4 linked regions of the Arabidopsis thaliana genome follow. The protein of the gene in region 3 interacts with the protein of the main gene of each other region in a pairwise test. Each region holds a gene or a part of one and is shown on either strand. Other genes may lie near its edges.

Region 1 (6,681 bases), about 11 Mb from region 3:
CATGACCAGAGAACTATAGTAGAGATAATTGGATATCACATAGCTCTGCCACAAAGGCGTGTATCCACAAACGCGTGATTCATAAGAATCTTCCTTTTTCATATCTTTTACAGATCCACTTAAAGCAGGTTCAAAAACTGAGAAATCATCCAAACTGATCATCCATGGTTCCAGGTACGTAACCCAGATGGAGAACACCTGAGATGCATTCTTAATTGAGCTTCCTATGGGACAGAACAAGAAACTCCTCAATATATAACGATAAAGCGGCCTCTGTAAATGGGTGTTCCAGGAAGTGAGCGGCCTGAGGCTCAAATTCGCGACATGGGATGACGATCCTGAAGTCGGTGTCTTCCACCGTGGACTCTCGCCATACTCAATGTAGTTTTCACTCCCAACACCACTTGTAACCCAACTCAAATTCAGATACTTGACAAGCAACTTCACTACTTCTTCCAACCCACAAGTAGGTGGAATCTCCTCCACAGCAGAACGGAAAGGAGGAGCCACACCAAAAGATTTAGCCGTAACAACAGGAAATGGTGAGAAGTCATTCTCAACAAGCCAATAATGCACGAAAACATTCACCAAGAACTCAGCTCTTGTCATCACTGACCCATCATACCCATTTCCGTAATGCAAAAGAGAACTACGATAAGGCTGGTGAGCGTTTAAGTCGAAAACAGGAACAAATGCTTTCAAATAAGAGTAAAGAAGCCTTATGTAGAGATTACACTCCAATTTCTGATCAGAATCACGCTTGTTACTCCCTGGAAAACCTTTGATAAGTGTCCAATTCTCTAGCCTAAACTTGTTTCTCTTTTGGATAGGATTCAGATTCACAGCTGAAATCTCATTGTTTCCTCTACAAACTGGATAATAAGAGAGCCAAAACATGTAATACTCAAAAACATTTAGCCTAACTTCACACAATGAACCACGAACTGAATCCTCCTCAATTTTACCTTTCAAAAAGGGGCACAGATTCGATAACGCAATTCGATCCTTCTCGCTGGAGAGCATGAATCTAGCATACTCCGGTAAACGTTCCGTCGGGAAAACATACTTAACAAGAGCTAATTTATCAACAGCGAAGATTGAGCTCATGAGTATTCCACTAGGGGATAAGAGATTGTATACTCTCTCCGCTAAATCCAAATCGTTGGCCGCCGAGATTACATCGATCCAACCGTTCGGTCGCAGCGAAGAAGACTGTGCCGGAGATGCCGCGGTCGTGTCGCCGAAACCGAAGATCTTACAGATTAAACTCGGAAAAGTAACAGAGAAGAAATGGCGACACTGATCAGGCGTATGCGACTGAAGAAACGATTCGACGGAAGAGCAAGCAGCGGAGATACTCGACGGCGTGGAAGCTGAGAGTATAGCTGAAGCTAGGTCTTGTGATTGCGAAAGCGAATCGACGGTGTAGGAGTGTGGAAGCATCGCTAAATACGAAGGTGAAAACGAAACAAGGGTTTTTATCGAGAGATAGAGCAAAGGTTTACGCCGGAGAAGAAGGGTTTGAAATGCGAGGCGACTCAAATCGCGCCTTGTGAAGGGGAAAAGAAAAACCAAAGAGGGACAAAAGAGAAGAAAAAAAATCAACACGAGGAAGAAAAAGAAAGCGAACGTGCCACGTGGCATCTGTGTAAATCACCGCGATTAATTTTCCATGACAGTGGACTTTTTAACCAAAGAGTGGAGTGAATCGGTGAACGCGGGAACACTCTCGACACTCATCGCCCTAAATTTAACGCTCCTGATTATGACACGTTATTCACTCTTTTAAGGCCCATTTAGACTAATTGTTTAGCCCATTCGTTTTTTTACTTACGAAACGCTTGGGAACTTGTTTACTTTCTCTTACAACACTGGAGTCCGGTTAAATCCGGTTCGTCTTGGTTTAATTTCCGTTTTCAATCCAGTTATAGTTTTTGGTCAGAGGATAAACAAACTGTGATTTTATTTATTCAAAACTAATAAATTCTAATTTTTAGTACAGATTAAACGAAAATTAACGCATCCTAGAGTCAAAATAAAAGCATACAAATATAAAGAAATGTAAGCAAAAAATAATAATTTGTTTTTCTCCCTTTTTTTTTTCTTTTTTCTTTTCCCTAATGATCAAAGCTGAACTAAAACATCCTACCCAAGTTAAACAACCTAACAAAGAAAAACTTATTTAAGTTACTGTGACCAACAACTAACCTGTAAACCCCAAACCAGATCCCATTTTAGACCATCACTTCCTCAGGTCTTTTATAAAGCGTGTATCACGCTTTTGATGTCTGAACTATCAGAGCTAGGATTCGGGTGAAATGCTGATTGTCTTGAAGATGACCCGCCACCTAGCTTCAATGAAAGAGACTGATCGGATTCTCCATGTTTGTTGGACTCTGCAAGGCTGAGCTTAGACATACCAAGAAGCTCGTCAACATTGATAGGAGCTTTCGAGTGCACAGCAGTTGGTCTGAGAATTTCATGAGTTTCCTCTTTCTTGGGTGGTTCAGGAACATAACCAGCAGGCCATATTGGGAATGGAAACGGGTAATATGGTGAAAAGTAGGTCGGATATAGTATGGGGAATGAGCCAGGTAGTTGCGGCTGCGGTTGCAGTTGTGATTGCAGTTGTGTGGTTTCTTCTAGTCTGGAAGAAGAAGAAGCAGCAGCGGCAGTTGCGGTTGGTTCCCCGGTGGTAGAGTTTGTGGAGTCCATTGATTCACATTCTTCGATTTCCAAGATTGACGGTGCGTGAAGTGAGCTAGGAGCAAGTGTCTGATGAATAGAGTCAGCACCTTGCATTTCAGTTTCCACAGGAATATTATCTTCCTCTGGTTCTTGCAAATCCATGGGAATATCTCCAACCTACAAGGACAAATCACACAGCATAAGCAGAATAAAGAAAGAGAATTACATTTCAAGATCACATTCCCATGAGAAGACCAAAATGCTTAAGCAGGATTGGCTACAAAATGATATCCTCAAGCATATCAATTAGAACCCCAACAGACTTCAACTTTTCATATTGAAATGTAGAAGGCAAACCAATCCACCTAATAAGCTTCTGAATCCTTTAAATCAGTATCTCAACACATTTTGTAACCACTCCAATATAAATAAAAATGGTGTTTTTGAATGAAGAAGGAACAAACCTCATCAGGAACCATATCAAAGAGACTAGAACGTCTTTTGCGACGAGAGACATTGGATTGTCTGATGAAATACTTCTGAGCATGGCTAGCAACTTGTGTAGGTGTCCTAGTGGTCACATAGTTTCTTGAGATACCTCTCCAATCACCTTTACCCAGCTTCTGTAAACCTAATAAGAACATCCTGTGTTCTTCCTCTGTCCATGGAGTTCCTACAACAAAACCAATATCAAACACACATCAAAATCTTGTTACATAAACCAGATCACCACTTGTTACATAATGCAATCAACGACTTTGATGCAAAATAAACTCAATTACAAAAATTTGGAATTTGATAAAAAATTTAATCTCAGAAATCAAACGAAGATACCTTTCTTTCTCTCGCGGCTAGAGGAAGAGCCAGCAACGAAATCCTCAGAAGCGTAACCATCACCAGCGACATGGTCAGGGACATCACCCGGAGAACCCGGAGTGTTGGACCCGGTTCCATGCCCACCCGATCCAGAACCCGTGTAATGGCTAAGATTACCCATACTTGCACTTTTCCGGATCGAACCTTCGGTGAGCCGAACACCAAAGAGCTTCACGCCGCGATTGGGACAAGTCCGAGAGTTGTGGCCATTGTGATTGCAGTGAGAACATCGACGAGTCATACCCGACCCGATTTGCTTCTCTTAATCGGATCTGATCGAAGTCTGAAACGCTCGCGGATCGGATCTTAGTTGATCGCAGAAGAAGCACAGAATCTAATTGTGAGAAAGAGATAGAGAGACAAAGGAGCGGAAGAAAGACAATAATATCAGTTTATCTGGTCGGATTTATTACATAAATTCGATTTATCTGGCCGGATTTTTTTTTTTATTTATTTATTTTTTTTATTTTCAGTTTGTTTTTCTTTTGCTCTTAGTATGTTTATTTATATATATAAAAATCGGAAATTATTTGGTGTATCGTTGGTGGATTTTTTTCCTTTTCCATATTTCATATTTGACTTAATTAGTCAATCCAACGTGTTCTATTATTAGAAGATTTATTTTAGAAAAAATGTTGAATTACTTTGAACTAAGAAGTCCAACTAGCTATTACTATTAATTATTAATGGCCATTTTTGTATAAATTTTTTGGAAAAAGATGTATTACAGGCTAATCTCAATATCCAAAGTTTTAAATTTAGGATTAAAAAAAATAACAGCTTTCTCTGTGATTTCTTTTTAACATTATGACATATATCTTAAATAAGTTACTATATATTAATGCCACCACAAATAGTATAGCTGTAACTAATAACTCTTTCTATATAGACTAGTTAATAGGTTTAATGCATTTGTGATTATCCAATTGTCTTATGCTAAATCATTACAATTTCCTTATATTTTTCTATTTATATAAGGATGGATATCTATACAAAAACTGCAAAAAGAAAAATTAAGTATTTATGTACAAGTGTTAACCCTCCACCAGAAATTAACAATTGGCATGAATATTATTAGCCACAAGATTAATTACACTATTCAACATTTTAAAATATCTTAATAGCCCTTCACGCGTTCCATACAGAAAGCTTGACTAGATTTTAACAGTTATAAACACAAATAAGTAAAATATGACATCTGTTTAATAAGTTATCATAAGAAAAATGGTAAACAAATGCCAACATCCTACACATAGAGAAAATCTAATTTTTGGTCATATAGTAAGGCGACAAAACTATTGTTATTTATTTAATAATCTAAACTGAAAATAAAAGTAGACCCATGACTGAGTAAAATATGTTATCTTAAGAAAGATAAACATGATTGTGATTTCATTTCTTGCTAAGATTACAAATACCATAATATTTGTATTAGACACCCCCTAACTCCAAAAGTCATATCTTATAATACTAAGATATATTTTATTTTGTGGTTAATTGTATTATTATTATAGATTTATAGTTCCATAATCATTTGTATGGATTAGAAGAAGAATAAATTAAAAGGCAATGCAGTTTTTGTTTATGAACAGAAAAAAAAAAATGGACGAACATTTTGGATTTTAGATGATAGAAAGAGAGATAATATGAGTGGATGGGTTTAGTGATATAGATTAGGAGGTCCCACGTTTGAAAATGCCACGTGGACACGAGGAGAGCGGCTTATCCAGAAAGGAACCTTTGGTCAGATCTTCTTATATTATTGTGGGATTCCTTCACAAAGCTTTATCAGCCGTCCACGTGTATTTCTCCCGTCGGTGGCATATTCGCATATTATTTCAGATTTCTTGTCATTATTTCATCTTATTATATAACAACAACAACGTTACTCAAATCTTCTTTCACCTAAATTATAAGTTTCTAGCTATTTTTAGCCACATACATAGTGTTTATACCTTTCTCCAACTTTTTATACCAATTTGATTTCATCTTCATTATAATATCCTTTTGCATGCCGTGGAGGATCCCAGTGTTTGTATTTTTAAAAGTTGAGAGACTTTGACAAAAAAATTGAGAGAAACCCCGGGAAAACGTTTTGACTGTGATTGACCCAAGTAAACGTGGACCTTGGGCCAATTTAAATCTCGAGGCCCAAATGCTGTCTGCTTCCAAGAAATTATCGAACATTGAATAAATGATGAGTAATGAATTATTTTTCGGTGGAAACTGAAAGTACAGTGTCTCGTTGAATAAATATGAAAATTTAACGGACTTTTCAAAATTGGGAAAAAACAAGGAAATTTATATCGGAACATTAAATTCTCAATGTACTCGGACCGACATGACAACATTAACTACTGCACTGTCCTACTGTAGCGTGTTCTTAATATTATTTGACCAGAGAAAATTAAGAGTATAACTATTTATGCGAATTTTCCTAACCTAGAAGTGTTGTATTTCTCGAAAAAAGGAGGGAAATGGAACTATGAATTTAAAATGAGACAAAAAAAAAATCGAATTAAATGCAATACAACAACCATAAAGTGAAATGTAATTGAATTTTGGCAGGCACTCTGATACTACTAACCTGGTCCCCTTTCTTATGGGCTAAGCTACAGTTTCAGTTTTCGTCTCTGCATTTACTTCTTCATTCTTTCTTCTCCTTTGCTGCATTTGAATTCACTCCTTTATCAATTTCTTCTTTTACTGAGATTCTTTTGGAGACTTTGATTACTTTCATCATCTGAGTTTAAGGTTTTGGCTGAGATATATGGGTGGTTTTGATTTGAATAAAGACGGTAACAAGCAGAGAAGAAACGGAGATTCTTGGCATTGCCTGGATTCTCATAAACATGGCCGCTCTAAAAGGTACTCTCGCTTCAATAGTTTAAGCTCAATCTTTTCACTAATATTGAATCTTTATCTTAAATCCATTAATGGGTTTTTGAGATTATCTCTCGATGTTTCTTGCACACCAATGTTTGCTTAAACGTCTCTATGATGAAAACGACGTAGATAGAGACTGTTATGCAAAGAAGTCTGTTTTAGAGCTTTTTCTGTTTAGAATGTTTCTTCCTAGAGGCTAGAACGAATTCTTGTTTATGATCTTCCCAGTGC
Region 2 (8,620 bases), 8.2 Mb from region 3:
CCATTATCAATCTGATTCGACTCAAGATTTGGGTTATGAATGATAGGATGCTGGGTCGAGTTTGAATCTGGATCATCGCTTGAAGAATCTTCAAAGTCGTTCTCTTTCCTTCTGAAATCCCATTTCTCACTGAATCTTGGCTCATCTCCCATTCTTAAAGATTCAGTCTAATTTCACTCTGTTCTTACAGATTGCACCTTTCTTTCAAAGATTTTTCATACAGCTGCAAGAATAAAAAAACACAACATGGATAACTATAAACAACACAAGTCTGTTGTAGATCGAAATGGATTACGGATCAGCACATCATCAACTTTGTAAAAAGATGGGAGTGTTCTTCTAAACAATGGAATATTAGGCGAGGAGATAACAAATATAAACCAATATTAATTGGAAAACTGTTTAAAGCATATCCATAAATACAAGATTAAGGATTCATCTCTGTAACACAGGTAAATAGAGAATGCATCTAGTAAAACCCGAGTAGTATTGCGATTATCTCGACTTAATTCAAAAGAGAAACTATTGTAAACTACATTTTCGAGAACTAAGAAGTACACACATAGTTAAGAAAAATATCCGAGATATATATAAAAACATGTAAATGCAAGTTCTTACCGGAGAGAAGAATTTTCAGGCCATCTTCACCATTCTCGATCTCTCCCTTGAGTCTTGTCTGATCGCACACTTTGTGTGTAAAATCGACATGTATCTTTGAATTTATGTTTTCGGTTTTGCTGTTAAAAAGGAAAGGAGTTATGTTTTTGTCTGAAAAAATATTTTCCATATGAGGTATATTTTATTCAAAGAAAAATATTTTTAGTCATTAATTTTGGTTCTACCTTCTAAATAACAATATTTTAGCTTTCCAATTTGGATCTTTTTCTTGATAATCAAGTTTACCCATTTTTCTATATTTTATATTTTTACACAAATTAGAAAGTAAATTAGAATTCACCTTAGAATTTAAAGGAATAAGATTCATGTTTTTATACTATTGTTTAAGATTTTTTTGTCAACACAAAGATTTTAAATGATAAGATAAGAGTACTCTGGTTTTCCATTAATATATGAAGATTATTTTCAGTTTGGGTTTGAAATATCCTTGATATTAAACGAAAAGAATAACATGAGTTGGTAAGTAAAACATAATAAGACATGACTAGATAGGTAAAATTACATAAAGCAAATTAGAAAGTAATTTGGTCAACACCTCTAAATTTGTAAAAATAAGATATTACAGCATTTATTTTTGTTGATTTTCACTATGTTATTTCAATGAAATCATTTATGACCCAGTTAAGGAAATTAATCTGGATTTCTTATCATAAACTTTACCTCTTTGTTATCCATGAAAATGCCAAAATGCAGAATCTTCTCCCGTTTCGTGTGAAGCTTTTTGACCACTAATTTTCATTTACACATTAATGTTTTTTTCCCCGTAATTTCACATCAACCTTGTGCTTAAACAACAAAAGAACACAAAATCATCTAAACTGGCTATTACTATTACTAATACCCTTAAAATAATCTACCTCAAACAAAATACGCATAGTGTATGTTCCTCTTCACCTACGTTAAGCAACGGAAAAAAAGACACAAAAAAAAAACAAAAAACAAATGATAAACATAACATTAATTCCTAAAACCCGGTTAGAAGAAAACCAAAGAATAGAAACCAAACCGGGAATGTTTTTTCTTTGCTGTCAATTTTAACTAAGTAGTCTTCAACAGATCCATGCAACCCTTTGAAGTGCTTCTTTGATCATTCCTGGTGTCGCTATTTTTGACCCCTTGTGCTGAAACCAACACATTTCATGTCAATCTAGGTTAACCAAATCCTGGTTAAGCCAAAAGTAGGTTAGAGAGTATACCTTGCAATTGACGGTTAAGCAGAGCAAACCGTCTCCGGTCGAGGATTGAACCGAATGAGAATCCAAATGGAGATCACTAATCACATCCATTATCTCAAGCAATACTCCTTCTCTCCAAGCACATCTAAGCTCAATAACCACCTCATTACCAAACGAACCGATCCTTAAATTATCGGTTAAACCAGTAAAACCGGTATCTGCTGGCTCGGCTTCACCAACATTGTTAACCGACACCTTCTTCCCATTTCCTGTTTCATTATTTGCGCAATTAGCTGATGTTCTTTCTCCTGCGTCGCATGGTTTCTTCCTCTTCATCGTCATCGTCCCACGAGTCTCTGTATCGGTTGATTCTCTGCAAGATTCTAGTTCTTGAACCCGTCTCTCGAGTTCTTGAAGATACTCTATCGTATCGTCAAGAATCGATACTTTATCGATCTATCGAAAATGTTAAACATAAGATTAGTTACCTCGCGATATATATGGATTTGAAATTTTGAAGAATCGATTATATAAATATACCTTGTTGATTGACGGAATGATTTTTCTCAAGGTCATGAACCGTTCGTTCAATTTCTCGCGGCGCTTCTTCTCTAAAACCGCATGGTTCCCAGTTTCATCTCTGGCTTCTGGTGAGTCCAACATTAACTTCTCTTTCTGGTGCACTCGCGGAACATCGAAAATAATTTTCTTTAACATTCCTTGTGATGGTGCCGTGACCGTGGCGGTTCCTGATGATGATGACGATGATTTCTTCCACCTAGTGAAGCTTGACTGTTTATCGCAGTTTCGAAACTGCGGTCCGAGAATTAACTGATGGTTGGTCTTAAAAATCGTTGAGATCACACTTTGGTAATGAACGTCGTCGTTTCTTGGATCAAATGACAATGTCTTCACATTTCTCTGTTGCTCTTGAATTTGCCCTAGTCTTTGAACTCTACTCTTTCTTGCACCGTAAGCAACCCGTCCAGCCGCCCCTTCAACAAACGTTTGAGAGACGCAATCGCTGGAATTTAGCGACTGGTGAACGCAGTTACTAAGCTCGTCGTCCATGAGCTGCCAGCTTTGCACCTGAGAAGCTCCTCCAGTGATTCTTTCGGTCATGAAAGAATCATGATCATCTGCTACTTGTTCATGTTCTTGATCGAAACCGTTGGTAGTTCTGCTCGGAGAAGCTGTTGGAAAAGGCTCCGTACTGAACATAGGCGCGTAAATCTCGTCGCCTAGAATCTGTTGCGGATCAAGAACGTTGTCGATGTGATAATCGGATCTTGCTGGTAATATTGTAGCGTACGGATCAGGGGCTTCGAGGAATGATGTCTTCACGCATTGTATTACATTCATGTCTTCCGTAATCTACGAGACGAAACACACCAAGAAAAAGCCTTGAAAAAGTTTTCAATTATAACTATACCAACGAGCTAGTAAAAAGTACAAAAGCCGTATTTTCGCGTTTTGTCATAACCAAACCGTGGAAATCTTTAAAAATCGAGACTACTAAAATATTAGTTTGTGTGTTCTTGGTGTCTATACCGTTATTCGACAGATTGAAGGGTCAAATTGAAATGTTAGAATACATTGTGGTAATTTTATAATTATTCTTTTTTTCTTAATAAAGGATTTTCATAATAATTATTCTAAAACATTGGAAGCAGAAAACACAAATATTGGCTTACATGTTCTGTGGTACCAATCTCAACGACTCCTCCAAGGAACGGGAAGCAAACCACTGTCTTAACCGCAGCACTCTAAACCACCACAAAACGCAAACAAAAACGAACGATTTTAGTGTTTTCAAATCGCAAAAAAGTGTTACATAGCAACTACATCAATACTACAACTTACTTTTGCTAGAAGAGAACGGCTAAACACTTTACTATCCGCCGTATGAGCGTTGCACAACCATATCGGTTCACCGTTTGCAAACGTCCGTCCAGGCATTCTGCAAAAAGACAGGTTCATTTAGAAAGCAGCAATGCATTCTAAGCTTAATTTTTCCACATTTTTTCTTCCTAACATATTCATAATTATTGAAAGTTAATTAGCCGTGTTCATAAAGACCAAAATGAAACGAATTTTTTAATTAATCCGGACAGAAACAAACTTTTGTGATGATAAATAAACCGAACTAAACTCGAATCGAACACAAATATACTGCAACCAAACCGAATTAATAAAATTTATTAGATGTAGAATAGAGTTAAACATACTAATGCATATATATACACATTATTATTTAAAATTAATTATGTTTTAACTTTTTCTTTTGTAATCTGAAACCGACCAAATCCGGACATTAAATTTTGAAACCAAACTGAAACTAAAAAATTGGTTCTAGCTCATACTTTTTTCCTGCAGAACCCTGAAATCTAACAAACCTAAACTGAACCATAAAAGTCGAAATCCTTGGACCTACTAGTATTAAAAGTATATTTTGGCACGTTGTTTAAAACTGGCAAAGATCAACACGATCATGACACATAATAAATGTCAATGCTGATAGAGGAAAAGACGGAATTACCCTTCACCAATGTTGAAGACGAAAGACATACAAACCAAATAGTACCACTCGGTGTCGGCGAGATCTTCCGGTGAAAGTGCGGCGGCGGAAGCTCGTCTGGTGACTTGAGATCCGGCAGCAACGCCTGAAGAAGAAGATTCAGCGACGGAGAGAGACTCGTAAAGCTCGCTAAGCTGCTCGCTCCTCCGTAGACCAAGCTGATCAGCTTTGATCTCCGAAGCTTGAATCGTCTTCCTCGTTTTGATATCTCCATTATAGTATCCATCTCCCCATTCTAAAACTCTTTTTATATATAGAAAAACAAAAACAAATATCAAATCGAATAAAGAAAACAAACAAAACATTTTCTTGAACTAATCAAGAACTTCAAGAAGAAGAGAAAAAAAATTGAACTTTTAAAGAAGATCAAGAAACCTTATATGAGTTTATAAGAAAAAATCAATGGAATCAAGAAAAACCTAGAGAACCTTGTCTTGAGTTGTAGAACTAAACACTAGTTTTGATTTGAAGTGAACACATAAGTTTTATCTAATTTTCCAATTAAAATCAAGAAATTTACTTCATCAATATCTTTCAAAATCTCCAATATCTAGTGTTCAATGAATATGATTTAAGAAACTTACCCAGACTGAGAAGCAGAGACAGACCAAAAGATACCATAACTCCATTGAATGTTTCGAACTGAAACTGCGAGGTGTTTCTTCAGATTCTCTGGCACAGTTGTTCTGTTTTGTCCGGTAGCCATTGTTTCTTCATCCCTATATCCCATGAAACCACACACAGGGAAAAAGAAAAGAAAAGAAAAAAATCAAACTTTTTGTCCTGATTTAGAAAGAAATAAGATACTATGTTAAATTTATAGCCTAAAAAAGAAAGAAAAAGGGAAACTTGTAACTCTTTACATTTTTTTTGAAGTATCAGAGAGGATACAAACTAGATGTTAAGGTTTTTGTGTTTGTCATTTGATGAAACAGTTGCCGTTTTCGCCGGAACAAACAGAGAAATGTTTGAGAGTTTTTTTTTTCTTTGGTCACTCCATACTTTTTTTTTATTAATGTTGTTTTGAATATTAATTTTGTTGTTGTTTGAGCTTGAACTCGAAAGACTAGAAGAACTGTCTACGAATCCTTTTTTTCTTTGAATATGACGATATCATCTTTGTTGTGTACAGAACAAAACACAAGACATTTATGACGAAAATAAAAAGTACTTATAATTTTTTAATGATTTATGAGAAAAAAAAAGGATACAAAAGTAGAGGAAAAAAGCAAAACGCTGATGTTGATTGATTGTTCCTCTTTTTATCTTGAAGTTGATTGATTAGTTCCTCATTTGGGAAGAACAACCTTTTTTTAAGACAATGAACTACAATGTCCATTGTTGTGGTCTTGTCTTCAATAAATTCTCTATTCAGTCTCTTTGTGGTTCTAGAGATCTCTTTTTTTTGGGAATATTGAATCATTGTGTGTCTCTTCCAACACTGATTTTAAAGTTAAAATGTTATCACGTCAAGGCTGAACTTTTCACCCATCTATTCTTGAAAAAAAATGTTTCCCTCACTTAATATCCCCACTGATACCAAAAAAAAAAAATTTGTTTCCTTGACTATTAGATCTTTGAAGCAATGTTGACTAGAATACCATTAGCATGTGATCCAAGTCCAATCTAACCAGCATCGTATGATTTCTTTCATTTTGTATAATCTAATCAGTCTTATTACTATTTGAGTGATCGAAATATATTATTGTCGGTGAGTAACATCGTTTTATGAATTTTCCAAAAGTACACAAAACGACCAAAAGTATAATGTCTCAAATCAGAGTATATGATTAACATATATAATAATAGTAAAATCATCAGCTTTTTACTTGGTGTCAAAACGAAGCTAATCGCTATGAATCTAAATTATAGTCACAAACACAATAATAGATAAATTGAGGAGGAAAGAGATAATATAAGAACAGTCTTTACTAAAATTGGGAAACACAAAGAAAGACACGAAATTAATGTTTGGCCTCGAGGAGTTCCCCCAATACGTACAGACACAATCTTAATTTTTGCAATCACATCTTTAAAATGAATAAAAATGTTATGGACATTTTCGACGTTGATTCTCCCTATAGTCATATACTTACAATATTATTATATTTCAAAATTCTCTTATACTATTAAACCTATATTTTCGAAGTATTTATGCAACTATTTAAAATATAACTTTAAATAAAACCCTGCTAAATGGACCATTAGTACTTATTATTTTCCTTTTCTGACATCTAGAAAAGAGAGAGACGTTGACGTCAGAAAACATTAAAATATATATACACGTTCGGTCCCCTACAAGATCAAAGTCTAAACATTCGTAGTGCTGTTGATCGGAGGTTTCGGTAAATTAATCGGATGTGTTGATGTTTGAGGGTAATATTTAGGAAATTTGGTATAGCTTTCGATACAACAATATAAAATTTGTCTGATCCAAACTTATGTAACACTAATATATATTGTTATTTTCAATCAGAATACTAACTCAAGTTAAATGGGGAATTCAACTCCTAATCCGATGAAGCCTTGCTGGTTTGGATCAAGACGTCATCTTCACTTCAACAACTCCATCTCCTGACTCCTATCTTTCGCTATGGTTTGCTAATTTCCAACAAAATTAGACCACATCTTTACTGATCTTACTAGAACACTCGTCTCTATATGTTTATCTTATTTGATTGTATCTGAGCATTAAGGCTCCTCTGTAAGACCTCTTTCATATATATAAACGGAACTAATTAAAAAAAGAAGTAATATATATATATATATAGGGTATATACTATGTTGTTATTTTCTTGACATAGACGGCACAGAAGAAATAATGTTGTAAACACGGCCATTAAAATCATAAACTTTTGGGCATGTACGAGAAGATGTGAGAGATTCAATGCTATGTATAGGACAATGGAAGCATGACACTATTTTGCTATTAACTGGTTTGTATCCTCTCTTCTATGTTAAAAAACTGTATGTTTTCCCATATACTAAATGACATATGGATATAGCTGAGAAAATAATATTTTAATTTGGATATACTATATTGGTTTAACAATGAAACATAAGTGGTTCCACTTTCCACCTCATAAGGCATATTATCATCATCTTATATGTATCTCAATTCTCAAGGTTCAGAAAAAGGTAAGATAGTTCATCTAAGTCAATGGAAGTCAAACTATGTAAATAATGGGCTTTTGATTTGCTTCTTGTTTATGATTTGATTCAAAGATCATGGTGGATCTTAGGAGGTAGAGAATCACATGAATTTGGATGGGAATTCAAAAAATTATACTTAATTTGGCTTAATGAAACAATTAATAAAGAAGAGACCAAGAGTCAATATTGTCACTGGCGACGTTAATTAAGCCATCAACTATATAATTTTGTCATTTCCCAAAATTGTCGTTATTACTTGTTGCGTCTCCATGAGAATCATAATGAACATTAGACCTCGTTTATTTAATTATATCATTAAGCCCGTATCCTCTTTTGTTTTATCCTGCTTTTTATAGCATTATTTTACTTAGACTCTACTAATATTAAAGTAAAATTTAGCTACCTATTTGTATCTACCATTGTGAAGTTATTTAAATACTACACTATAAATTTGTACAATCTTCGTTTAAGTTTCCTCAATCTCTATATTTTTCTTTTCTCTTAGCAATCAATAAAATAATATTTTTAAAAACAAAATATTTTATAAATTAATATTCGATAAATTAATAATTACTATAAATATTTATAGTCTTAAATTAGATTAGTGTACAAAATTGATGCAATTAATTCGATAAAACATTAATATATTATTTTAGTTTAGTTATATATAGACATATAATTCCATTATTTTGATAAATTAATACTTATATAAATTTATCATATATATATATATATATATATTACATACAAGAAAATTTAGTGGAATATGATATATATATATATATATATATATATATTTATTTCATTTTTTGAATCTGCATTGATTTTTGTTAGAGTTTGTTCCTAATATTTTTACTGCATCGAAAAGTTTTGGTATTGTCTTCTTATTTGTAATTAGTTCTAGAAGAATGTTACTAACTAAAAAATCTAATTTTTAAATAGAAACTTTTTAGTTCTAATATTAATTTATAGATATTTTACTATACAATAACAATTTGTAGCATATAACAACTAGGAAAAAATGATCAGCTCCATT
Region 3 (6,765 bases):
CCAACCGCTTCATATTATATTTGTAAACAACATTCCTCAGGATTGGCTCGTTTGAGTCCTAATTAATTTTCGGATGACAAAAAAAAAAAAAACATTGAAAAAGAAATTCCCCCATATTTTTGTTGTTGTATATATTTATTAAACAATAGCCAATAATAGATTTGATTTATTTTTGTTGTCTCTCATAAACAATCAAATAAATTGTAAATAATCAAAATATTCATATGAGGCAAAATTCATAAAATTTGGAAGCAAAGAAAAAGAAGCTCTTCTAGTCAAATAATCCGATTATCATGTCATCTTCACTCTCTTCTTTGATCACCTCCTAAGATTATAAAACAATTATACCATTTAGTATTTGATTTAGTAGTTTGTTGTAATTAATAATGTGATAATAAATACCATCTCATTCTTCTTCTCCTCGGGAATAGAGACTGATTGAGAAGCGGTAGGAGCAGCAGTGGTAACTGGACGAGCCACACCACAACCACCGGCTCCTACATTCATGATGAGATCGTCGATGTTCTTCTTCTCACATAGCTTAGCAAAGAGGCTAGGCCAGTATGACTCGACATTCACGTTGGCTGTTTTCACCAGTTTTGATATGTTCTCAGCCTAATAATTTTACATTATTACAACACTTAAGTGAGATCAGTTTGAAACCACAAGGCAAGAAAAGAGAGATGACGATTCTAGAGACTAAAACATAGGCTAAACAGTGTCTCAATAGCTAGAAAACAAATTTGAAGAAAGAGAGAAGAGAAGAAAACTAACGGTGATCTCGATTCCATCATCGTGGAGGATGAGAGCAGCATAAGTGCAGGCGAGCTCACTGGTCGACATTCTATCTACCTTTAACCTCTTTGTACTCTAAGTTGTATTATTATCGCTTGCATTTTAAGTTTTGAGGACGTAGGTATTTTATATTTGGGCTAGAATTTTGTAAAATTTAACCCATCACATAAAATCTGACAAGTAGCTTGATCTTAATTGTAACAAGATCACAACAAATTTAAAAACATTTTGACACATGTCAAATAGTTACATTTTAGAGTATACATTTGTTCCTAAATCTAAAAGATTTCATAAGCTAAATTTTCTATTTTGATCATCTTATAAATTGAAAAAAATATGAGTATCCATGTTTTCCAAATCACTTCTCAAACCATTAGAAAAACTCTATTTATATACAAAGAAACACATTGTGATTATTAGAATAAAATAAATAAAATTTTAAGTATGGTATGATATTATGGAGACAAAAGTTAAAAAGTAAAATTTTCATTTATAGTATATAGATTTATAACATTTTGGAATTCTACTATTAATGGTTTATAGATTCTTATATTTCTAGAGGAGATTATCGGATCAGTGATTTAAATTAATTCTCATTTTTTATAATTTTCAAGATTGAAAATTTTGCTACGATTTATAAGACTTCAGATGTGAAGATTCTAAAATATTTGTGTCAAACATTGGATTGTTTATAATAATTTACTCACCAAATTCCCATTGGAGTTCATTTCAAATCTTTGTGTCACATAGTCGACTGAAACTCCATTGAAATTCAATTTAAATCTGTGTCAAATAAACAAATAAGTCTTCCAATGGAATTTATACTGCAAATCTTTGTGTTAATTATGCAAAGAAGTTAATTCAAACTGACAAACTCCATTGGAATTCATTGCAAGCTGATTTATCTTAGAGACGTCCAATAAAGCAAGACAGGGTTGCATTGTACTAAGCTCCAATTACCAAATCTAAACACCAGAAACCGCAATATATCCTGGTTGGGTTTTATACACAACATAAGATAATAGTATCATTTGGTTCATCAAATGAATTCAGTTTTAGTTACAATCAGATAGATACAGAGTCATTGCGGACCTAAAAGCGAGAGGGAGCGCAAACCAAACCTACTTACGCACATGACGATTATACGGGTCTATGCTAAAATCCTTATTGATCACTTCACATCTGCACCTGACATCAAGTGAAATGTATAGTAATTATAAGGAAAGGTTATTTGATTTTCTAGGTTGCATATGTGCGTGTATATATGCAATGCTGTTGTCTAAATGAGTTACAAAAACCTGAAGCACACATACAAAGATGTTCAAACCAGCATGAAGTTTCCAATTCCACTTCTATATGTTTCTGAGGGCATACAGCACAGTCAGCAGTAAACAATTCTCAGATACTTCGTTAAATTAACAATATTTGTATACGTAGCTAGTGGCTTCGTTAAATTAAGAATAGATTGTCTCAAAAAAAAATAGACTGAAGAATTATGGGTAAAAATTAGAACCTGACGAGTGTACAACTATTCATCATATGATACATCAACTTAGATGAAAGCCAACATATGACTACTACACTATCAGCCATTACAGCAAGTGTGAGACCTGTCGCTAATAAGAGCCAATATATATGACTACTAAACTGTGATTTATGTATGCATAACAAAGTAATTGATTTTAACAGAGATATTGATTCAGGTAAATCTAAAACGAGTTAGTGTCAAATCTCTAGTGGCTTTGTTATCAAGAATCGAAAAAACGTTTAGTTACCAAACCTAGAAGACTATCTGTAATGCAACACAATCTAAACCAATAATCAATGCTTCCTCATTAGAATCTAGGCCTAGCAAATGAGAATTATGTAGCGAAACAGAAACTCTCACCTCAAACTCTAAGGAGCTGCATTTTGTTAGCAAAAGCAATACCAATCCAATCAGGCTGCGAAGAAGACCACTGCAACTGATTAATCTCCGAACCAGCCGAATAAACCGACATCGGATCAATCCCATTGGGTCCAGCAACAGTAGGAAGCTCCCAAATAAGAGCCTGTGTATCATCACCACCAGAACAAATATGTTTACAGCTCTGAGGCGCCCAAGCTATAGCATTCACACTAGCCTGATGTCTTTCAAGCTCAGCAACAGGCATAGTCGGCGAACGAATATCGAGAATCACAACCTTATTAGAATCCATCAAAATCGTAGCCATATATCTAAGATCTTGTTTGTTCCAAGCAAGTCTTAACAAAGGCGTATCAGGCTGAGGACTCTCGTAAATGATTGTAGAATGTTCCTTATCACGTAAATCAAAGATCCTAACGGATCCATCAGCAGAGACTGATGCGAAAACCCTAGCTTCTCCCCAAGCAATGTCATGAACCTCTTTATCATGAGCTATAAGCTGAGTCTCAACAACAGACTTCTCAATATCCCAAATCGTACACGTCGTATCAATACTACAAGTTCCGAGACGTTTCGGCTCTACATCGTTCCAATCGAAGGAAGTCAACGGCGCACAAAACTCGCTCGTTTTGCTGTTGTTGAGAACCGAGATTGGCTCGACGGTTGATGAATCTTCGTTAATTTCCCAAAGACGGAGGAAATCGCCGGAGGAAGCGAGGAGATCTCCGGAGGAAGGACGACGGAGAGAAGGAGGACTGAACATTAGCTTTGTTGGAGGATAAGGATGCTCGAAGGAGAGATTCGGGAGAGGCTTAACGGTCATTGAATCGGAATCGAAAGAGAGAATGTCGATGCGGTTGTTGTAATCTTCGAGGAAGCTTCCGACGGCGATTCTGTGACCGGAGGATGAGCGGAGAGAAGAGAAAGCCATGGCGTAGAGTGGATATGGTGAGTCGTATGTGACGGCGGTTTCCGATCTGGATAACGAATCTGGAGCTGAATTATCCATGGAAATGTGTGGTGCTGATTCGATTCGAGATTTGGCTTCTTCACGACGAAAGTGAGAGGAGAGTTTTGAGGTCAGTGTCAGTCGGATTTTTCAAGAGACGGAGAAATAATCAATGGAGACGGCGTAGATATAAACCCTCTGGATTAATCAGTATCTTTTAATGTATCTATTGATAATGGGCTTCTGTATATTCAGATAATGGGCCTTTTATTTTAACGTTAAGAGCTATAGAATGGCCTAATTATTGGATCACTAGGATGACATGAAACACTAACAACATTAATATGTGACACTCTAATCATTTTACTAACAATTGTCTAATTCAGCTAAAATAAATTGTTTGTGATTAAGATAATCAACAATCCTTTTTTATTATTATTATTAAGAAAATGTAAAATTTATTCGAAAAAAGCTTTTAACATTCGGTAAATAATTTGCATACAATTTTTCAAGAAAGTTCTACTCCCCTTTAGTGTTTATATTAAAGCAAACCAAGCTTCCATGCATTCATCGTAGCTTCTATCTCCTTGTTCACGAATAGAGAAGATCCAGATTCAAATTTGTTTGTCAATATTTGGAAGCAGTTGCGCCGGCGGTAATGGTGCCTCTCCATGTCTCGTATTGTTGCTCTCTCTCCATATGGAATAAACGCGATCTCAAAGGTGTAACGTGCTAAAAAGAGATTTAGTCTTCCCAATGACGTGTCTGTGAGGGTTCTTTCAACATCACTCCACCTTGCAAGTGAATAATAAGCTTAGTTAGTCTGCTAATCTTTATCTGAAATTTGGTTGTTGGCATTTATCATAAGACATCGAAGTTGTAAATTTGGAGACAATATAAATCTAGCATTAAACACATGTCAAATGGAGGATTTATCAAGTGGTAACATAAATTCTTATCATAATCTAGCATAAGTCATGAATCAATAAATAAATAATAAAAACTAACCACTAAATATGATGAAAAGCATAAACATAACTAAAGAATATAAATAAAAGATAAGAGATTAAAAGGTGAAAAAATCTTTTACTAATTGGAATGAGAATATGAAGATCTTGATCCAAAATGTAAGAACATTATATAGATCTCAAAATTTATGAAGGGAGAAGAAAACTTAGGTTAAAAATGTCTAAAGCTTACTTAAATAAGAAAAGATTCAAATTAAACATGACTAGAATATGTGTAGAAAACTCGAAATAATGTTTTTTAAAACACATTTATGGGTTATTACGATTTTTCTGTACAATGACAGAGGTTCAAATTTAGAGGAAAGGGACATAACGAAAGACGCCCTACTTTGACATGCCCTACCTGCTTCAACCCCAAACCCACGTTTACTCCAAATTCATACTATTTGATATTACATCAATCAATACAAATAGATACATCCAATAATTCGTACATACTCGTGATATTCACTTATTTAGAATAATAGTCAATAGTTCATACTGTAATTAATAAATTAGCCCATTGACGACAAAAAAAAATGAGCTCATTAATTAGCTACCTAGTATATTATCTTGATCAAATGTTGGTAATTCAATTAGCTAGTTTTTGGGGAGAATAAAGTATGGAAGAATAGGGTGCGGTTCATAAGAGAGTTAGCTAAGGAGGTATTGGAGGCGAGAGCTAGTAGCGGAAAGGCAACACAAAGGGCTGGTCGGGTTGAGAAGCTGATAAAATGGCTTATCTCGTCTATGGGCTGGTTTAAATTAAATACTGATGGGGTATTTTATGGCAATTCGAGACTCGCGGCTGGTGGTGGTCTGATACGTAATGAGGAGGGTGAATGGTGTGGAGGCTATGCGCTAAACATAAGGATGCTTATTTTATGGCCTATCTACCAACTTGACATTAAGAATGCTTATTTACAACGTATGAGACCGTTTGCCTGTTTTCATCCCCATATTTGTGGTAAATGGTGGTTGAGATTTTGAAGACAAGGTTATGGGACTCTCATCTGCTATCATTTCCAGTACGTTTGCGCTATAGTTTTTTATCGAAAAACTAGATTGACCGTGTTTCACATATAGAGAGGCTAATCATTTTACGGACATGTTAACAAACTATGCTTGTCTTTAAGCTTTTATGCTCTTGTTTATGTTCTCCGGTGTGCGGATGAAATCTTACGGGATGATGTTTCTAGACCTGTTTGTTCAAGACGAGTGATTGTGTAATTGTTATTTTTGTTTTTTAATAGAAGTCGGGAGACATTCTCTCGGTTATTCACCAAAAATGATTTAGTAACTATGATCAAAAACTTTTGTTTGAGATTCTTTGGTTTAACAAAAAGAAAAAGAGTATGTTACCGAATTCAAATTATTAATATCCACGTAGCAATTGAATACTTAATTTTGGTATACCATATGAAATAAATATTATTTGATTATAACTAGTTTCTACATAATTTATGATTTTTATATGCGATTATGAAATCTAAGGCTATACCAAGATATACCTGATTAAAATCGATAAGATCATAAAATTTGATATCACATAAGAAGACAAAAAAGAAAGTTTAACACATATGTAACATCTCGATTTTTAAAATATAATGATGCATCTGGAAGAGTTTTAAATAATTAATTTGGTCATATATATTATTAAAATGTATTTATATTTTTGGTCTAATATTCTGAAAAGACTTTAAAAATAAAGATTTTTAGGTTGGAACAATTTTAAAATGAATAGCTTTTAATAAGTGATTTTTGGAATCATATGAATAAAAGCAAAACACGAATATATTATGTGATAATTTGTAATATTGATAAACAAATATTTAAAGTCTCTTGGATATGTATGAATAAAAACAAAACATGAAAAAGATCATGTGATAATTTGTAATATTGATAAACAAATATTTAAAATCTTTTGGATATAATAGACTGACATTTGGACAGAAAAAAATTTATATATTGGGTTCACTCCTAGAGGTGAACCTCTTTTATTTACCCCTTTTTAATTAAATAATAATAATAAACAATATGACATATCATACTATATTTAAAATAAATCAAAACTAAAATAAAAATAAAATAAAACAAATTATAGAAAC
Region 4 (8,798 bases), on a different chromosome or scaffold from region 3:
AATTTTAACCCGCCCTAACCCGGTTTTTTGGTTCGGGTATTGGGTTGGTTATCGGGTCCGTATTTTGTCAGCCCTATCAAAGATAATCTAATATATGCTCCAATTAGGTCCACAAATATAACCAAAATACTATACAAAGACTAATTCTAAGTTAGGCCAAAAATTAGATCCACTAATACAAAGGAAACATGTTTCTTACCAAAACAACTTGTATACAAATTTTACACATTTACTTAAAACTATATATGTTATATTTATTATAAAAATAACATTTTTAAACAAAGTCAATCCAATGCAGCATTATATGCTAATAGTAAAAACATTGAAAAATATTATGACATCGCTTTTATACTATACTATTTCTTATGTAATTGAAACAAAGTATACAATTTAATTTATACAAAATATTAATGCTCGTGCTGTATAGCACGGGTTATGATCTAGTAACACTTCATTTCCAAAGGACAAATCATACCATTATATCCACCTTAGGATCATGGACTCATGGTGCCAGATATTTTGCATCATTGCCAAGCAGAATGAAAGATTTTCCTCCACAAGAGATTTGAGTTTATAAATATTTGGTGAGATTTAACAAAAAAAAAAAATATATATATATATATATATATATATATATATATATATATTTGGTGAGATAAGTCTTAACTTGCTACATTCAAAGAAACTAATTAAACCAAAAACCAAACACTAAAAGAATAGTAAATCGTCAATTTCATATTAGATGAGCTAATAAAGCATCACAGCAATAAATTTTGTCTATCTCCATCACTTACACCCTTTTTTTGTAGATAATGTAATTTCTTCCTCAAGATCTGAAGAATCATAAATCACATAGTTTAGTCAATGTTACAATACACACGACTAAAAGAAAAATTACAAAATTTTATTGATAGAATTTAAAATATACCACTAGACACTAGACTTTTGTCTTTTCATTAGTCATTACCGCTTGATATTTTTACTATCTTACGCATGTTATGAAAGATTATAAAGCTTAGGTTTTGGGTAGCAAAAAAGGGTTAGGAAAAAGAAAACCATACTATTTGTTATCCGAAAATGTCAAACTAATTCCTCTAACTGTGGTAAAAGGTTATAAAATCAAATCCTCTAGATTGATGTAAGTGATTTTTAAATCGTTATTCGGTCAGATCACAAGTTAATGATGAACTTTTCAGGGTTCAATACATGGCGATTTTAGCCATGGATCCCCAACGGGATCATGGGATTACGGTCCAACTGACCGGTTTGGACCGGGTCTTAATATATTGAACAAAATACAAGAAATCTCTCATTCACACGAATGATTACATTTCAGAAAAAGAAAGAAAAAATAACTCAAAAAACTTCACACCAATTTGCATCACACTATATTACCCATTATTTTTCTACAATTATGTGGTCCACTTTTCAAATAGTTCACTCTCATCATAAACCGGCCGGGGTCCTTCAAAGCTCATGCAGTTGTGCGTTGTAAAGATATATTGTATTCCAACAACTAATTCTTGCCAAAACACTTTTGGCTAATGTCATTTTCATTGAAAACAAAGCATTATAAATAGGAATGATTTGTCATTTCTGGAATGGAAGAACTTGGGTTTTAGTTAACATTTGTGCCTAACCAACCTCTCGTTTATGTACTAAAGCATTGTCCTTGTGATTGTGAATAACCAATCGCTCATTTCTGTGTTAGAACAGTATTGTTTATTTTCTGTTATTTGAATCATTTCCAATGAGAAATGAGTTACATAACACCTTTATTTATAAACACAAAGATGCACACAAGGAGAAGCAAAATCAATAAGAAGAAACCACTCCACGTGGCCCGTCGTCAGAGTTACATAATTGGTGAACGACTAAACTCAGAAGAAACAACATGTAATAAGAAACACAGAAGCAGAAGCAAAAGCCAAGCAACATTTATTTTGTCGACAAAAAAGCCAAGAAACATTCAATGTTGATTTTGTCTAAGTAACCAGGTGTACATACATTACCCTTAACCATACCCAAAATCGTATGTACTACGATATGTGTACGTAACAGTATCTATCTACATTTATATTTTATAAGACATTATTAAATGGGAAACTTATAGTGGCTAGTGGCTGCTACTTGGCTAGCAATTAACATCAATAATTTAATAACTCAAATGTGAAACATCTCATTCTTCTCCTTTATTACACCAAACCATTTCTCATTCTTTACTTACCGGTCAGGTCAACAATTCTACCATTCCCCATCTTTGGTTAAGTTTATCTTTTCATTTTAAAGAAAATATATATGAATGTTCATCCAATAATTCCAACTTCTTAAAATTGTTAATGAACATTTTAATCAATATATAATTTTAATATCAATTTTATAAATAATAGAAATGTGAAAAACGCAATTTCTTTGCTCCTTGTAGCAGTAACACAAGTCAAAGCAACATTTGTTTTCATTTGTTTGTCAGTTAGCTATTTTATCTACAATAATATGTTATGCTTTCTGAACAATAAATAAATATAGCATTATTAGATATATTCATTCTGTATTTTGATTTGTCCAATTAGTATATGACACGTCTACAAGATACATAGATCTTTCATTATTTCACTTTCTCATCCAACGTCTGGTGAACCAACCATTCAAAAATCAAAAGTCAACTTTTAATGCACTTGAGTTTTGGTCATGCATTCATATACATACATATATACATAGAAGTCATTACATGCATTATACTTTACTTATGTCAACATGTTGCAAAAGCACTAAGATGATATACGTATACATGCATATTGCAAAAATCAGTGGTCCCATACCATTTTAAGTCATCATGAGCGTATGAGAGTAAATTCTTCTCACATATTAATAACAACCCTTCAAAGTTATAAGATTTTTAGAGAGAGAGCTACCACGTTTTCGTATCTCCGGGAACGATGGATGAATCAAGTATTATTCCGGCAGAGAAAGTGGCCGGAGCTGAGAAAAAAGAGCTTCAAGGGCTGCTTAAGACGGCGGTTCAATCTGTGGACTGGACTTATAGTGTCTTCTGGCAATTTTGTCCTCAACAACGGTTAGTTTCTTATCTCTATAGTTCATTCATCTCTCACAATACAACCATAATATCTATATCCGTATATATTATGTAAACTATATGTTTAAATGAATTCGGCTAATTGTTGGCTTGTCGTAGTGTTACAATTCGATCTTGAAATAATTTTTTTTTTTTTTGAAGGTTTTACAAAATTTATTAAGATTTTTGAACTACTTATATGAAAGTATCATTGTTTAGGGTCTTGGTGTGGGGGAATGGATACTACAACGGTGCAATAAAGACGAGGAAGACAACTCAACCAGCGGAGGTGACGGCAGAAGAGGCGGCGTTAGAGAGGAGCCAACAGCTCAGGGAGCTTTATGAGACACTTTTAGCCGGAGAGTCAACGTCAGAAGCAAGAGCATGCACCGCATTGTCACCGGAGGATTTGACGGAGACAGAATGGTTTTATCTAATGTGCGTCTCTTTCTCTTTTCCTCCTCCATCTGGGTAAACAACTCTCTCCCTATACTCAAGTTTCTAAATTTGTTCTTTCTTTTTTTTCCTTCTCTAAGTGAAGACAAAAATAGTATTGTGTGTTAAATGCGAATATCGAAAATATTGTGTTGACATTAAAGAGAAACTGAGGAAGTTGAGTTACTAGAATAAGAAAGAAATGAGAGTTAATGAAACGTACACACACTACATTTTCATGAACATTATTGCGACCGTTGAGATTCTCATTGTTTGGTGATTGATTATCTAAAGTAGAAGCATGAATAGATATAACATAAATGCATAACAAAATGGGTTAGTTATGGGTATACTTCATGCTTTTCTCTATGTGGTAAAAAAAAATCAAATATAAATTTGGGAGGTAGTAATTTGTAGGATGCCAGGAAAAGCGTATGCAAGGAGGAAGCACGTATGGCTAAGTGGTGCAAATGAAGTTGACAGTAAAACTTTTTCTAGAGCTATTCTCGCTAAGGTAAATTCTTTTATTCATTCACCAACTATACTATGCATCTATTTTTACCTATTTATGTATACACTATACTATGTATCTATCTACTTGTAAACCTATTTATCTATACTTTTATACATTTTCACTGATTAACTTGAATAATTCTTCTTGTCGTTTTATGGGCCTTTTACGTCGGTTCCTCAATGACTTAGAGTGCTAAAATTCAGGTAAAATTTGTCTTTATTAGTTTGCTCTTTTTAGTAAGATTTGAGAATTGTATTCTGATGAAAATGTATTTTAAAAAAGCAGACAGTGGTTTGCATTCCAATGCTTGATGGTGTTGTGGAACTAGGCACAACGAAAAAGGTAACGTTGTATATACTCTCTCTTTTATTTACTTGTTAATGAAATATATAAACAAAATAACAAAGTGAATATAGCCTATCTTTCTTTAGGTTTAGTAATGTTAAATTAAGGAGATGCACTACAAAAAAAAGGTTGTTTTACATCATTTATTATAAATATTTGCATTAGTTAAAAGTGATGTAAAAGAATTTTGTATCACTTAAATAAGTGACTTAAATATTGTTGATGCAAATAATTTGCATCAGTTAATTAGTAACTGATGTAAATAATCAAAATAATTACATCGATTATTATAATTGATATCAATATTGTATCAGTTACTAAAAATGATGTAATGTTTACATCAATTTATTTAAGTGATGTTAGTATTTGTTTCGGTTTAAATAACTGATTTAATTAATATATATATAATTATTAATACAATGTTATTAATATTTCAAATAATTATTTTATTTATTTCTTTTTTTTTTTTAAATAACAGATCATTGTGGATAATTACTCGTTGGAATATCTACTAAAATTTTATCAAGATTTAATAAAATATTTTACATGAACAATAAATCTTTATATAAGATAAGCAAAAAAATAATCATAATTTGGTTTTGGTTTCTTCGTGTTTAAACACATCTTTCTTCTGTTCCATGCTTCTTCCTTCCATTAACTGTTGGTTCTTCTTGAAAAATACCATTTCTTCTTCTATGCCATCTCTCTTCCATTTACAGAATCAAAATCATACTTTGGTTATAACTTATATCTCTTGAATCCTCATCACACTTGAGTTTCTGCTGTACAAAATAAAAAAGAGAGTAATTGTTTGAAAATTTACAGAATTGTTTTGGTCGGAATAAGAATAACCATTTGTAAGTATTTTTAAAAGAAAGTGATAGAGTACCTTTACTTTGTGTTTCTCCAAACTGTGTAGGAAAACAAACAGTCCTAATGATCAATGGCAGATTTCTGAAAATAAAAGAAAAGAAAAAAACTGAGCAATGGTTAAGAAAAAGAGAAAGATAGAATGATAGAAAAATAAGAAAGTACTTGTCGTTGAAGATGAAGAATTGAATGAGAGTTATGAGATTTCAAAAACTAATTTGAAGATATTCTAAAAACGTTTTTGGATACAAAACTGTAAAAAAAGATCGTGAGCGTAAAAGCAGGATTTATAGTGAAGGAAACAAATATATTTAGTTAGCTGATTTTGAGGGAAAATATAGGAATTAATAATAAATTATTAACCCAATATGATTATTTATTTATGGTAATAACAATTTCTCGTCATCTACAATAAATTCAAGTTAGTTTTTTGTTTAAATTAAAATACAGAAAAACTTATTAGCATCACTTCTTATTGATGTATAATTTTATATCATTTTTATAAACTGATGTTAATAAAATTAAGTGAATACATCGGTTATTTAATTGGTGTAAATACAGATTTTTGTATCAATTTGTTAAAATGATGCAAACTAATACAAATTTCTATCAATTTGATTAAAGTGACGCTAAACATGTTAATTTATACATCACTTATTATAATTGATGTTTAATTATTTATTTTGTGTCATTTGCTTATAAGTAATTTAAACTTGTACCATTTATACTTGTGATACTATTTAATTGATGTAATCTATCCTTTTTTTTGTAGTGATGGATCAATATTTATTTGTTGTATTTGTGTGTGTAGGTAAGAGAAGATGTAGAGTTTGTTGAGCTCACAAAGAGTTTCTTCTATGACCACTGCAAGACGAACCCAAAGCCGGCTCTTTCTGAACACTCCACCTACGAAGTGCATGAAGAAGCCGAAGACGAAGAAGAAGTAGAAGAAGAGATGACAATGTCAGAGGAAATGAGGCTTGGCTCTCCTGATGATGAAGATGTTTCCAATCAAAATCTACACTCTGATCTTCATATTGAATCAACCCATACGTTAGGTATATATATCTACCCTAAGCTACTTATATTTTGCGGATTTATTTCGCTATATCTAAGAAATTATCATTTGTATATATATGTAGACACACATATGGACATGATGAATCTAATGGAGGAAGGTGGAAACTATTCTCAGACAGTAACAACACTTCTCATGTCACACCCCACAAGTCTTCTTTCAGATTCAGTTTCCACATCTTCTTACATCCAATCATCGTTTGCCACGTGGAGGGTTGAGAATGGCAAAGAGCATCAGCAAGTGAAAACGGCGCCGTCGTCACAATGGGTGCTCAAACAAATGATCTTCAGAGTTCCTTTCCTCCATGACAACACTAAAGATAAGAGGCTACCGCGGGAAGATCTGAGCCACGTAGTAGCAGAGCGACGCAGGAGGGAGAAGCTGAACGAGAAATTCATAACGTTGAGATCAATGGTTCCATTTGTGACCAAGATGGATAAAGTCTCAATCCTTGGAGACACCATTGCGTACGTAAATCATCTTCGAAAGAGGGTCCATGAGCTTGAGAATACTCATCATGAGCAACAGCATAAGCGGACGCGTACTTGTAAGAGAAAAACATCGGAGGAGGTGGAGGTTTCCATCATAGAGAATGATGTTTTGTTAGAGATGAGATGTGAGTACCGAGATGGTTTGTTGCTTGACATTCTTCAGGTTCTTCATGAGCTTGGTATAGAGACTACGGCAGTTCATACCTCGGTGAACGACCATGATTTCGAGGCGGAGATAAGGGCGAAAGTAAGAGGGAAGAAAGCAAGCATCGCTGAGGTCAAAAGAGCCATCCACCAAGTCATAATACATGATACTAATCTATAGACCCTAACTTTATTGATGCCAACTCTAGAGAAGGATAATTAAGCGTATTTTTGTTTTAGCCTCACATGTATTAAGACATCAGTTACATATATAGCCGGATGCAACATATAAATGAAAATGTACTAGATGATATTGTTCATTTGTCCAATGTAGTACTTGTGTATGATGCAATTGCAACATATAAATGCAAATGTACTAGATGACGATGTTGTTCGTTGTCCAATTTAGTACTTTTGTATGAATGCGATATTTGGATGCAGATTCAGTTGCATCTAAAACATCATATTTTTTTTGATGCATAAAGATGTAGAATTTCTATGTAGTTTTTTCTTACGTTCAAATTTGAGAAAATATTATTAAAAAATCTTTACAAAATTCATTAAAATAATTTATGCCAAAATTTGTATGTCATAATTTATGTAATTTTATCATTAACCTCAGATTAGAGAAATCAAAGAGTTTATATAAAACATTACATTCTACTTTGGTGCTCAATTTTAAGAATCAAGTTGTAGCACATCAAATTACGAAATCAAATTTTCCAGCAAAATTACGAAATTGCGTTTTAGTGTAAGAATCAACAATTTCTAGAGTAGACTAATAGTTATACTCATAATTAGTGTATGGAAGAACATTTATAAGTCAAGAATATTAAGCTATCAACCAACGAGATAAATGTATTGACAATGTTCATAGTTGCAGCATGAGCTATATATATTTTTCTCTTAGTTGATCATCATACATTATCAAAGCTGCAAGATGTGTAACTGCATTGGCTCCACTTCCTTTGTTGTCTTCTTTCTTGAATAGTGGTGTTCAATAGTGTAAGATATCTTTCTATAGTTTCAGCACTTAGCAGGCTGCTTAAAATTGGCCTGGCCCATTCGATTCTTTGATTTCGGTATGAACTGTTAGAATTCTGATTGAATTCAGATACCAAACCTTGCCAAAAAGAAAAAAAAAACGGTTTAAATGAATATTAACTTACTTTGACCAAAAATTGATGGCAGGGTAAAAAGACTCAAGATAATCCAAGGTCAAACCTATTTTAATTTCAGAACTTTATAATAATCGTTTTAAACTGAAATTGGTTTAATGTAAAAATTTAACCAACCTGAACCGAGAACTACAATCAAAGTAAACAGGAGATTATATTAAATCGAACCACTCTTACAACTCATAGGGGTGGGCGTACGGTTTTATGATTTGGTTTTGGTTTGGTTTTTTCGGTTTTATAAAAACTATAATCATAGAAAAACAGAAAAACAGTATGTAATTCAGTTTGGTTCCGGTTCGGTTTTATAAATATTAAAACCATATGTATCTCAGTTCGGTTTGGATTCGATTTGTTTTTGGTTTGGTCCCGGTTTTTTAGTTATTCCATACTTTTACAAAAAAAAATAAGTTCGATGATTTATAAATAAAAATAAACATAAAAGAAAATAATATATCAATCAATAAGTTAGATATAATAGATATCTTTTTAAAATTAAATTCTTGGTTTCTAAATTACTAAAAAAATTAATAATTCTAAGCCTACTAAATTTTTTTTTTTAAAATGAAACTATTATTAATCAAACTAATCACACTATAAAATGGACAAAAATATTTATCAATAATTATTTTTAATTTCTCTAAAAAACCTAAAAATAATCTGGTTTTACGGT

What was found.
Region 1: the proteins of TTG1 (region 3) and AT5G47390 interact in binary tests that used the Arabidopsis thaliana proteins (3 or more experiments, as listed by UniProt).
Region 2: the proteins of TTG1 (region 3) and GL3 interact in binary tests that used the Arabidopsis thaliana proteins (3 or more experiments, as listed by UniProt).
Region 4: the proteins of TTG1 (region 3) and TT8 interact in binary tests that used the Arabidopsis thaliana proteins (3 or more experiments, as listed by UniProt).

Annotation. Positions count from the first base shown.
Region 1 is NC_003076.8:19,224,125-19,230,805, reverse strand, and holds AT5G47390 (myb-like transcription factor family protein), read right to left. Parts: upstream 4,038-6,681; 5' UTR 3,806-4,037; coding exon 3,523-3,805; intron 3,362-3,522; coding exon 3,153-3,361; intron 2,866-3,152; coding exon 2,260-2,865; 3' UTR 1,911-2,259; downstream 1-1,910. Other genes in the region: AT5G47400 (sphingomyelin phosphodiesterase), read right to left, coding at 1-1,644; AT5G47380 (electron transporter, putative (Protein of unknown function, DUF547)), read left to right, coding at 6,335-6,432, 6,679-6,681. UniProt on the Arabidopsis thaliana protein: Transcriptional repressor. Direct regulator of the transcription of peroxidase (Prxs) and reactive oxygen species (ROS)-related genes via the recognition of 5'-ATCACA-3' motif.
Region 2 is NC_003076.8:16,525,974-16,534,593, reverse strand, and holds GL3 (basic helix-loop-helix (bHLH) DNA-binding superfamily protein), read right to left. Parts: upstream 5,505-8,620; 5' UTR 5,297-5,504; coding exon of another isoform or gene 5,295-5,296; 5' UTR 5,162-5,294; coding exon 5,016-5,161; intron 4,675-5,015; coding exon 4,393-4,674; intron 3,814-4,392; coding exon 3,717-3,813; intron 3,620-3,716; coding exon 3,548-3,619; intron 3,228-3,547; coding exon 2,394-3,227; intron 2,310-2,393; coding exon 1,875-2,309; intron 1,800-1,874; coding exon 1,728-1,799; 3' UTR 1,307-1,727; downstream 1-1,306. Other genes in the region: AT5G41320 (stress response NST1-like protein), read right to left, coding at 1-152. UniProt on the Arabidopsis thaliana protein: Transcription activator, when associated with MYB75/PAP1, MYB90/PAP2 or TT2. Involved in epidermal cell fate specification.
Region 3 is NC_003076.8:8,369,024-8,375,788, forward strand, and holds TTG1 (Transducin/WD40 repeat-like superfamily protein), read right to left. Parts: upstream 3,825-6,765; 5' UTR 3,711-3,824; coding exon 2,685-3,710; 3' UTR 2,684-2,684; intron 2,158-2,683; exon of another isoform or gene 2,109-2,157; intron 1,984-2,108; 3' UTR 1,294-1,983; downstream 1-1,293. Other genes in the region: AT5G24510 (60S acidic ribosomal protein family), read right to left, coding at 272-325, 403-615, 775-843.
Region 4 is NC_003075.7:6,179,131-6,187,928, forward strand, and holds TT8 (basic helix-loop-helix (bHLH) DNA-binding superfamily protein), read left to right. Parts: upstream 1-2,750; 5' UTR 2,751-2,936; coding exon 2,937-3,073; intron 3,074-3,292; coding exon 3,293-3,544; intron 3,545-3,925; coding exon 3,926-4,022; intron 4,023-4,210; coding exon 4,211-4,225; intron 4,226-4,307; coding exon 4,308-4,364; intron 4,365-6,048; coding exon 6,049-6,295; intron 6,296-6,379; coding exon 6,380-7,131; 3' UTR 7,132-7,393; downstream 7,394-8,798. UniProt on the Arabidopsis thaliana protein: Transcription activator, when associated with MYB75/PAP1 or MYB90/PAP2. Involved in the control of flavonoid pigmentation. Plays a key role in regulating leucoanthocyanidin reductase (BANYULS) and dihydroflavonol-4-reductase (DFR).